Oryzias latipes: one gene and its partner. The protein of the gene in region 2 purifies or fractionates together with the protein of the main gene of each other region. This does not show direct contact. Links are inferred from orthologs where the notes say so. Each region holds a gene or a part of one and is shown on either strand. Other genes may lie near its edges.

Region 1 (3,309 bases), on a different chromosome or scaffold from region 2:
TTTGTCTTAAAGGGGACACAAATTTAGGGATGGGTGCCGTTTGGGTTTTATCTGTGCTGATATGTTACTTTCGAAAGTAACAGAACCATTTTTTGGGTTTTTATTTTAACTGAATTATGGAAAAAAAGATGCAATTTAAAAAAGAAAAAAAGGAGCATCACAGGTTCCTGCAGAGCCTGAATTTTTCTGAGCTGCTCATTTCTCTCAGTCAGTCTCCCTTATCCTCACCTGCACCATGTGGATGATAAATTATTATTGCAAAATTAATGCAACTGATGCTCACTGCATTGTTGAACGGGAAATGCTTTTCGTATTTTGTCAATATATAAGAACACACCTTAATAATATGTCACTGAGTCTTTAGACGGGTTCGCAGTGTAAAATCACGAGAATAGTAATTTGTTTTTTTCATTGCACAGCACTTCATTTTTGTCAGTTTAAGTTCACTGTGCCTCACAGAAGTGTTGATTTAATGACGTGAATGTTTTTTTCACAAATACTTGGTAGTAAGAAGAGGGCAGCACTTTTTATTCTTTTTAGGAACTGTTTGCTTTGTTAATGCAGTGAAACAGTAGAGGGCAGGAAAGGTGAGAAGCAAAAAAAGCCCCAAAAATCTCACCAGATGCCTCTGGAGACACTTGAGGCTTTTCAGGTACTTGAGGCAGAATTCACAGAGGTAGAGAATGGGCAGAGTGGTCAGCTCCTGTGGGTACGGCGAAAAGTACCACGGCTTGAGCCTGTGCCGGCCTAACTCGATGCACTCGATGTTTTTCATGCGGGTGATGATGTCATCGTGACTGCGATCTGACACCAGGCTGCCGGTCATGCGGGGTGCTGTCGGTATACCATCAGAACTGTCTTGGGAGTCCTAAACGAAGACAGTGGCCGTTAGTCCCAGCTGATCCTTAAAACCAAGTTACAAAACGGTTTCACAGGGTTATACTAAACAAGATTCTGTTTTGTAAAGATCAATCATAGATATTGATTTTACCAACCGAGAACAAAATTGGATCAACATTAACCAGAGTCAATCATTTATTCGAGCAATATAAACAGCTGATTTTGGACTTCAATACACAATAAATTAGCAATAACAGGTAAATGAACAGACCTCTGGTGGGGGTAGAAAGACGGCGGCACTTTGAGGCTTGTTATACTGCAACACCTTTATCATCTAGAGAACACATGGTGGCAGAATCTTAATGCAAGTAACAAAATGAAACCTTTGCACTTTGACGAGTTTTTAAAATCTTCTAAAAATCGAGCTGCTACATACCTCATCAGGACCCCCACAGTTAGCTTTCCTCTTTCTACCAGGCTGAGGGGGTATTAGACGCCGGGCGGTGCCGTTCTACAGCCAAAAGAAGACAAACAGCTGCTTATTCCTAAAACTGTAAAACCTAGAAGAGAAGTTCATGATGATTTAAGAAAAGAAGATTTGCTCCACCGTTGTGACTGTGGGAATCGGCTCAAGGTCTTCCCGCGCCTTGAAGGGGGGGGGCTCTCTTACGACAGGGAAAACAGCCGCCTGGGAGGTTTCAGTTGAGCTCGGCAGGGCGGGCACAGGGGTGGCGGGTGGTACCGGAGTCACCAGGGGAACCACCTCTTTCCTCTTCTGCAGCAAATATACATCATTACAAATCCTTTTAAAATGGGGGAAAAATAGATAAACATTTGACCAGGACATTTTTTTTTTTACTTTAACCCCTGAAAATCCTGCACAAGCAAAGGAAAATTATCCAAATGTTTTATTCACTCCTTATGACTTTACTACCGACAGAATTGTGCTCTTATCCTCTATGCAGTTAGAAGGATTCTATATATTGCATTCAATATCTAAAATTATTGAAACTTGAACAGACTACATACTTCTTTGACAGATTATAAGCTGTGTTGATAAGCAAAACCCCCCCAAAAAATGTAACAACCAACTTGTTACTAAATCCCTGCATCTTGACCTTTTTCTGTAGCGCCACGACTTTCTTCTTCTGACTCAGCTGCACTTCTAACCTGAGCTAAAGAGCGATACAGTCAAGCTAGTATGATAACAGTTCTAATTAGGTCTCAGAATGGGTAAATTCTACTTGTACCGGCGTGGGGAGGGTTTTGCCTCTGGAAGGAGCTGTGGCAGATTGGAGGTTGAGATCTAGAGTCTTCCTCTGAATTGAACACAAAGGAAGATAAGGGCATTAACTGACACGGGGTTAATGACATGCAGGATTCAGCCGCAGGTTGATATTTCGGCTCACGAACAGACTTCGACTTCATGATTGGAACAGAATTAATAGCAAATTAATAAGTCTCTTGATTGGTTTATAAATGCCGCTTGTGTTTCAGAGTTTCATTAAATCAACCGGGCTAAGCAACATATAACAAGCTTCTTTAAAACAATTTGAAAAAATTAGACATTGTTTCTTTTTAAAAACAATTATGTCTGGTGTTATATTACCTGTTTCTTCTGCAAAGCTGTGTCATTGTTTGTATCTTTCTTCTCACTCACCTCACAGGAGAAAAGCAGACATGTGTTAAGGGCTGACAGCGGGGTGTCATTACATGATACAAAAGATCCACATTTGACATATAAACAGAAAAATACTGAGACTTTGGGTTCAAGGACCAATAATATGGGATTTTTGTCTCAGTAGTGAAAAAGAAAGTAGTCCCAGTCAGCTTTAAGGGCTTAGTTAATTACACATTTAAGGAGCAAGAAAGACTGAAGAATAGAGATTTTATAGTTAATACAATTTTACATAAAGTAAACCAGGAGATCATCATTCATTTCAATGAAACAAAAACACAAAAGGCAGTGTGTGGAAAAATTGAAAACTTTGATTTACTTTTTCTTTTCCACAGATTAACAGCATTTCTTGGATCACTAGTTTGCTACCTAATCCAGTTTTTTTTAAAAAAGGTTAAGAGCAGCGTGTGTAAAAAATAAAGCAAATTTCCCAATTACTTTGTTTCAGACGCCATAATTATTGGACAAACTTTTTCATGGCCAAGAAAAATAAAGAGGTCAGCTGCAAATCTCAAAGATGAAACATTGCTAAACCAAATCATAGATGGATTCTAATCGTGGTCTTATTAATTCAAGTTTAAAAGGATAAATCAGAAATTCTCAGCCTGACTGATATAAATGCCAAAAACCTGAATGCTCAATTCTTCGCAGCCGTCTAGCAGGAATTTGGGGTTTGATTTACTCTTTATAGTGTTTTTGTGAACAATGGAATAGTGCATTTAAACAATAATACACTGCAGTGTTCCTTATTAAAAAGATTGCTTTGTAACAAACATTTTTTGGGATGAAAA
Region 2 (4,433 bases):
TTGACGCGGTGCGTCAAACCAAAAAAACGAACCCGAGGCGTTTTTTAAAAAATGACGCTTTTACTCGTGGCGTTTTTCGCGTCGGTGTGCACACTCACATTGGTGCCCTTTATTTAGTCACAAGGCGTTAAACGCCGGCAAATATCGCGCACGAAATTCGTCCCGGTGTGTACGGGCCTAAAAGGCTACGTTCACCCTGCAGGCTGAAACGACCCAATTCCAATTTTTTGCCCCTATGCGACCTGTATCTGATCTTTTCATGACAGTCTGAACGACACAGATCCGATTTTTTCGAATGCGACCCAAGCCAGTTTGGTATGTGGTCCTGAATCGAATACGTATCCGATCTCTTCGACCTCTGTCTGAGCGGCCAGGCCACATGAATCCGACCCGTACGTCATCGATACGCTACAAACGTCATCATTCTGCATTGAAGTAGGCAGGAACTAGATCATAAACATCAACCATGGCGAAGATGCTGCTGAGACCAGTCAGTGTTAGGGAAGTGAGGTCACCGATTGGATTCATATTTCTCTATTCAGGCCAAACTCCAGGGCTCTTACCGTAACCGGGCAGTTTTTGAAAACATTTCCAGCTAAATGGCTGAGGGTACAGACGATCCTGGCTCCTCACATCAGTATCCCACCACTCCACACGTTTCTCTGTACAGACTTGGCTAACACTGCTTCAAAAAACGCCATGGCCACAAACTTTCCTCCTTTTTAAATTTCTTTTTAAAATGAGAAGATTGTAATTATTCTGGCTCCTTTGTGAAAATAAATGTAATAAAGCAAAAATAGCTCTGCTGTTGACAACACTGTTGTTGACATCCATTGCTAACGTTAGCTACTTCCATAAACAACAGTGACGTCGGTCACCGTTGAGGACTCTTCTGCGCATGCCGGTCACTTCTGGGTCATTTCAGGGTCAAACAGGAGATCACAAAAGATCATATTTAATTGGAAATGTGAAGGACCTTCACAACGAACCATCTCTTAAGTCCAGATGACGGCCCCTAAACCCACTACTATGATGGAATCTACCTGGATGAATGAGAGGCTTCATAGACACATAGTGAAATATGTTTTTCATCTGAATTTAGTCAGAAGTGTGAGTTAAATCATTTAAATGTCACAAACATTTTGGGGGCTTTAGTTTAGTAAACTTGGGCCGGACCAGAGAAGGAAGAGACAAAAAAAACCTTCCAACCTTAGCAAACTTGAAAAACGGTCTGGGGTCTCGTCGGAAGTATTCGATGTCGAACATCGACTGCGGATCGGGAAGGTCGGGAAAGTCGACAGCAAGCCGAGCGTAAATCCCATCTCTGGAGCGAAAGTCGGGAATTCCACAGGAAACTGAAACCTGCGAAGCAAACCGGTGTTTACCGTTTCTTTACCCAACATGAAGGCAGAAAAAGCCCTTCTGGGGACTGAAACACCTACACCTGCACCGGTCAGAACCATGATCCTCTTGCTCTCATGAAGCAGTCTGACCACGTCCTCCACAGTGTTCACGTCTTTTCTCTTCTTCCTTTTGGGAGGTTCTGAGATGTTGATGATGATCTGCCACAGGGTCATGTCGTCCAGATCGGGTGGGAGTATGGTCTCGGGCAGCAGGTCCCGCAGAATGGCCCTGGGGTCCGTCTCTCTGATGTGCTGATGGATCAGACTGTAGGAACCTGCACACGCACACACCTGAGCTCACAACGGCTTTGCAGGGAGACGCGGAAAATACATTCCTGCCTCATTCTGACCGATCTGGGGCTGCGGAGTCCAGTCGCTGGAACTAGCATGAGAGGATCCGTCATCGTCGTCGTTAAGGTGTTCTGGTGTGACGGCGAGACCGTTGGAGGGAAGATCGTCAGCCCCGAGGAAGCCTGAAGAGGGCAAAACCGGCAGGTCAAAGGCCGAACGCCGAGACCTCTGCCGCCACACGACGCGGACCGTATTCATGCTTCAGGAAAGGATGACTAAAATGCAGCTGAAGGAGCTGCTCTGATTGGAGCCACCTCAACTTAATAGAACTTCAATCATATAAAGGGAATTCATTGATTCCTGGTTAATTTCTTAATTTTAATATAAAGGAAAATTCCTGATTTCTGTTTTCTATTTCCATGTTATAAATAAACCAATAACTGATGGATCTTAAGATTCATTAATGACACCTAAATCTATTCTATTGAGATTAATAACTTTAATTAGAAATTCATCATTTCTAATGTTTGGATAAATGTGGAGCTTTTATTTCATAATTAATTATCTTTACATAAGAAAATCCGGGAAATTACCTTAAATTAAATCCCGGAGTTCAGTTTTTGACTGAACTCGATTGATGGATTTTTAAACCTCTATTTTCCAGTTGGGTTAAACGGTTTAGTTCCGCCAAAGTTTGGACTTTTAGGTCAACACGAGTCACGTGGTCAAAGTCGGCGAAGTTCTCGAACAGGAACGAGAACTTCGCCGAGCATCGGTTTGTTTCCTGCCGCTTCCGGTTCCTTTCATCTTCGGTACGTCGGGCTAACAACCAGCCGTTCCGAGCGATGAAAACACGGAGCCCTTCGTCAGGGAACCAGAAGTACTCACCCGTTCTCCCCTCAGCAGAACCAAAGCCGAAGCTCAGCCTCTCGGCTGGGTTCGGCGGCTCGCATCCCAGCAGTCCCAGCCCATTGTTGTCTCCGCCCGCTGCGGCCTGCTCCCCCGCCATCGCCGGCTTCGCCTCCCTCTCGGCCCGCTGCTCGCAATTCACCGCCGCCTCCCGGCTCTCCGTGGCCGGGGAGACGTAGGAAAACGGCTCCGCCTCGATGGATCTGAAGACGCGGTCGTCCGGTGGAGTGATTTTCGATCTCTTAGCGGCGGGTTCGTCCGCAACGCAGGCTCCAGAGAAGGCCGCTCGGTGGCTGCTCTCGTCGTCCGCCATCTTCAGCCCGCAGGAGCCGCCGAGCAGACAGCTGGCTCATTTGCATAACGCGCGTGATGACGTCTACCATAACAAATGACTGATGCCTTCATGAACGGTCGGACAAAAGAAAGACATTAAAACATATGCAAAAATAATAATAAGGAAAAAATAAATAACGAAGGTGAAAACACCTCATTTAAAGATTATCAGCAGCATTAACTATCGAAGTAAATATGTCTAATAAATAAGATTGAGTTCAGTATCAGACAAAGAATTTACAAGTGACCAGAAAGTTATCTGCTAGCAATGGTTATTTTTCAAAGCAGACGTCACACTAACTAATAATTAGTTATAAAAATAAAAGCCATCTTTAAAAAAAAGCTCTGATATAAAATTGCATGCATGAACATTATTATTACCATTATTGCATATTACGTTAAACGTATTAAAAGTAAACCGAGTGTTAAGGTTTTCTGCTTGTTAAAGGTTTTTATGCTTATTTAAAATTAGACTTTCACTATGAACTTGGTAAATCAAACACTAAATCACAACCACGAAAACAGTTGCACACTGAATTTTTAAGCAAACATTCTCAGTAAAGTTATTTTTTATTGCTGTAAAAAGTATTAGATTTTTTTAGTTTAAAGCGTTTTCTTCCTCTGTTGACGGATTTGGAGAATTCCAGCATAAAAAGGCAGAAACTGAATCAAATGTATTTAAATCAAGAACTTCTCTATCAGCATTCTGAAAACATATCAAAATATAAACGCTATAATTACAATATATACTTACACATTGAGTTTATTTTTTTGAGGTTTAGTATTAACTGGAATGACCCAAAACGGGAGTGTTTCCTCCCATGACAAAGGAGGGTCCTCGAACGCAACCCACGTCACATGTTGGTGAGAAAGTGAGAGCTTGTTCGGTTCTTTTAAACTCAGCTGATTTATCAGCAGAATCCCAGTCCAACCAGAACCAAGAACCTCAGCGGCATCCCAGGAAGAGGGAGTTGGTCCATCGACCTTCCTGGATCAGAACCGCAGAGATCCGGTCCGGTAAAAGAAGAGCCATGGATTCCCTTCTGCGCAGTAAACCGGAGGACCGGGAGGATTTTTACGGAGTGCTGGGGTGCGACGAGCTGTCGTCCGTAAGTTCTGATGACGTCATTCCTGCCCGAGCTGCAGGAAAAGGAAAACATGTTTGTCGACCATTAACAACCTGCAGGTTGATCATCGTGAGAAAAGAGACCACGTGACGCACGAAGAGATGCTGCACGCGCTCTGTGCTCTGTGGCGTCAGAACCGAATCCCGGACCACAGGTGGTTGAAGCCGATGACGTGACCACCGAAAATCTGATTATCATCCTCTGATTTATTCAGTCAGACTATTGAAGTGATCATGTTAACAGGATAATCCGATTGCCAAACTGGTTTACATGCCCTCAAAACCCAGAGAAATGGGAGTAATCAGATCCTCGAAAGTAATCAGATTACAGTTGCAAAAATGAAAACCACATTTTTAATTTTATTCTGAAA

Evidence for each region. The genes of interacting proteins can lie anywhere in the genome.
Region 1: the proteins of sirt1 (region 2) and kat5 purify together in Homo sapiens (affinity purification with western blotting; 3 studies listed by BioGRID). This does not show direct contact. The link is inferred for Oryzias latipes from reciprocal best matches to the Homo sapiens genes SIRT1 and KAT5.

The regions. Positions count from the first base shown.
Region 1 is NC_019872.2:15,158,621-15,161,929, forward strand, and holds part of kat5 (histone acetyltransferase KAT5), read right to left. Parts: intron 2,501-3,309; coding exon 2,450-2,500; intron 2,160-2,449; coding exon 2,085-2,159; intron 2,016-2,084; coding exon 1,959-2,015; intron 1,616-1,958; coding exon 1,448-1,615; intron 1,352-1,447; coding exon 1,277-1,351; intron 1,175-1,276; coding exon 1,112-1,174; intron 869-1,111; coding exon 620-868; intron 1-619. UniProt on the Homo sapiens protein: Catalytic subunit of the NuA4 histone acetyltransferase complex, a multiprotein complex involved in transcriptional activation of select genes principally by acetylation of nucleosomal histones H2A and H4.
Region 2 is NC_019873.2:29,790,710-29,795,142, reverse strand, and holds the start of sirt1 (NAD-dependent protein deacetylase sirtuin-1), read right to left. Parts: upstream 2,952-4,433; 5' UTR 2,917-2,951; coding exon 2,583-2,916; intron 1,877-2,582; coding exon 1,754-1,876; intron 1,679-1,753; coding exon 1,443-1,678; intron 1,363-1,442; coding exon 1,210-1,362; intron 1-1,209. Other genes in the region: dnajc12 (dnaJ homolog subfamily C member 12), read left to right, coding at 3,758-4,045. UniProt on the Homo sapiens protein: NAD-dependent protein deacetylase that links transcriptional regulation directly to intracellular energetics and participates in the coordination of several separated cellular functions such as cell cycle, response to DNA damage, metabolism, apoptosis and autophagy.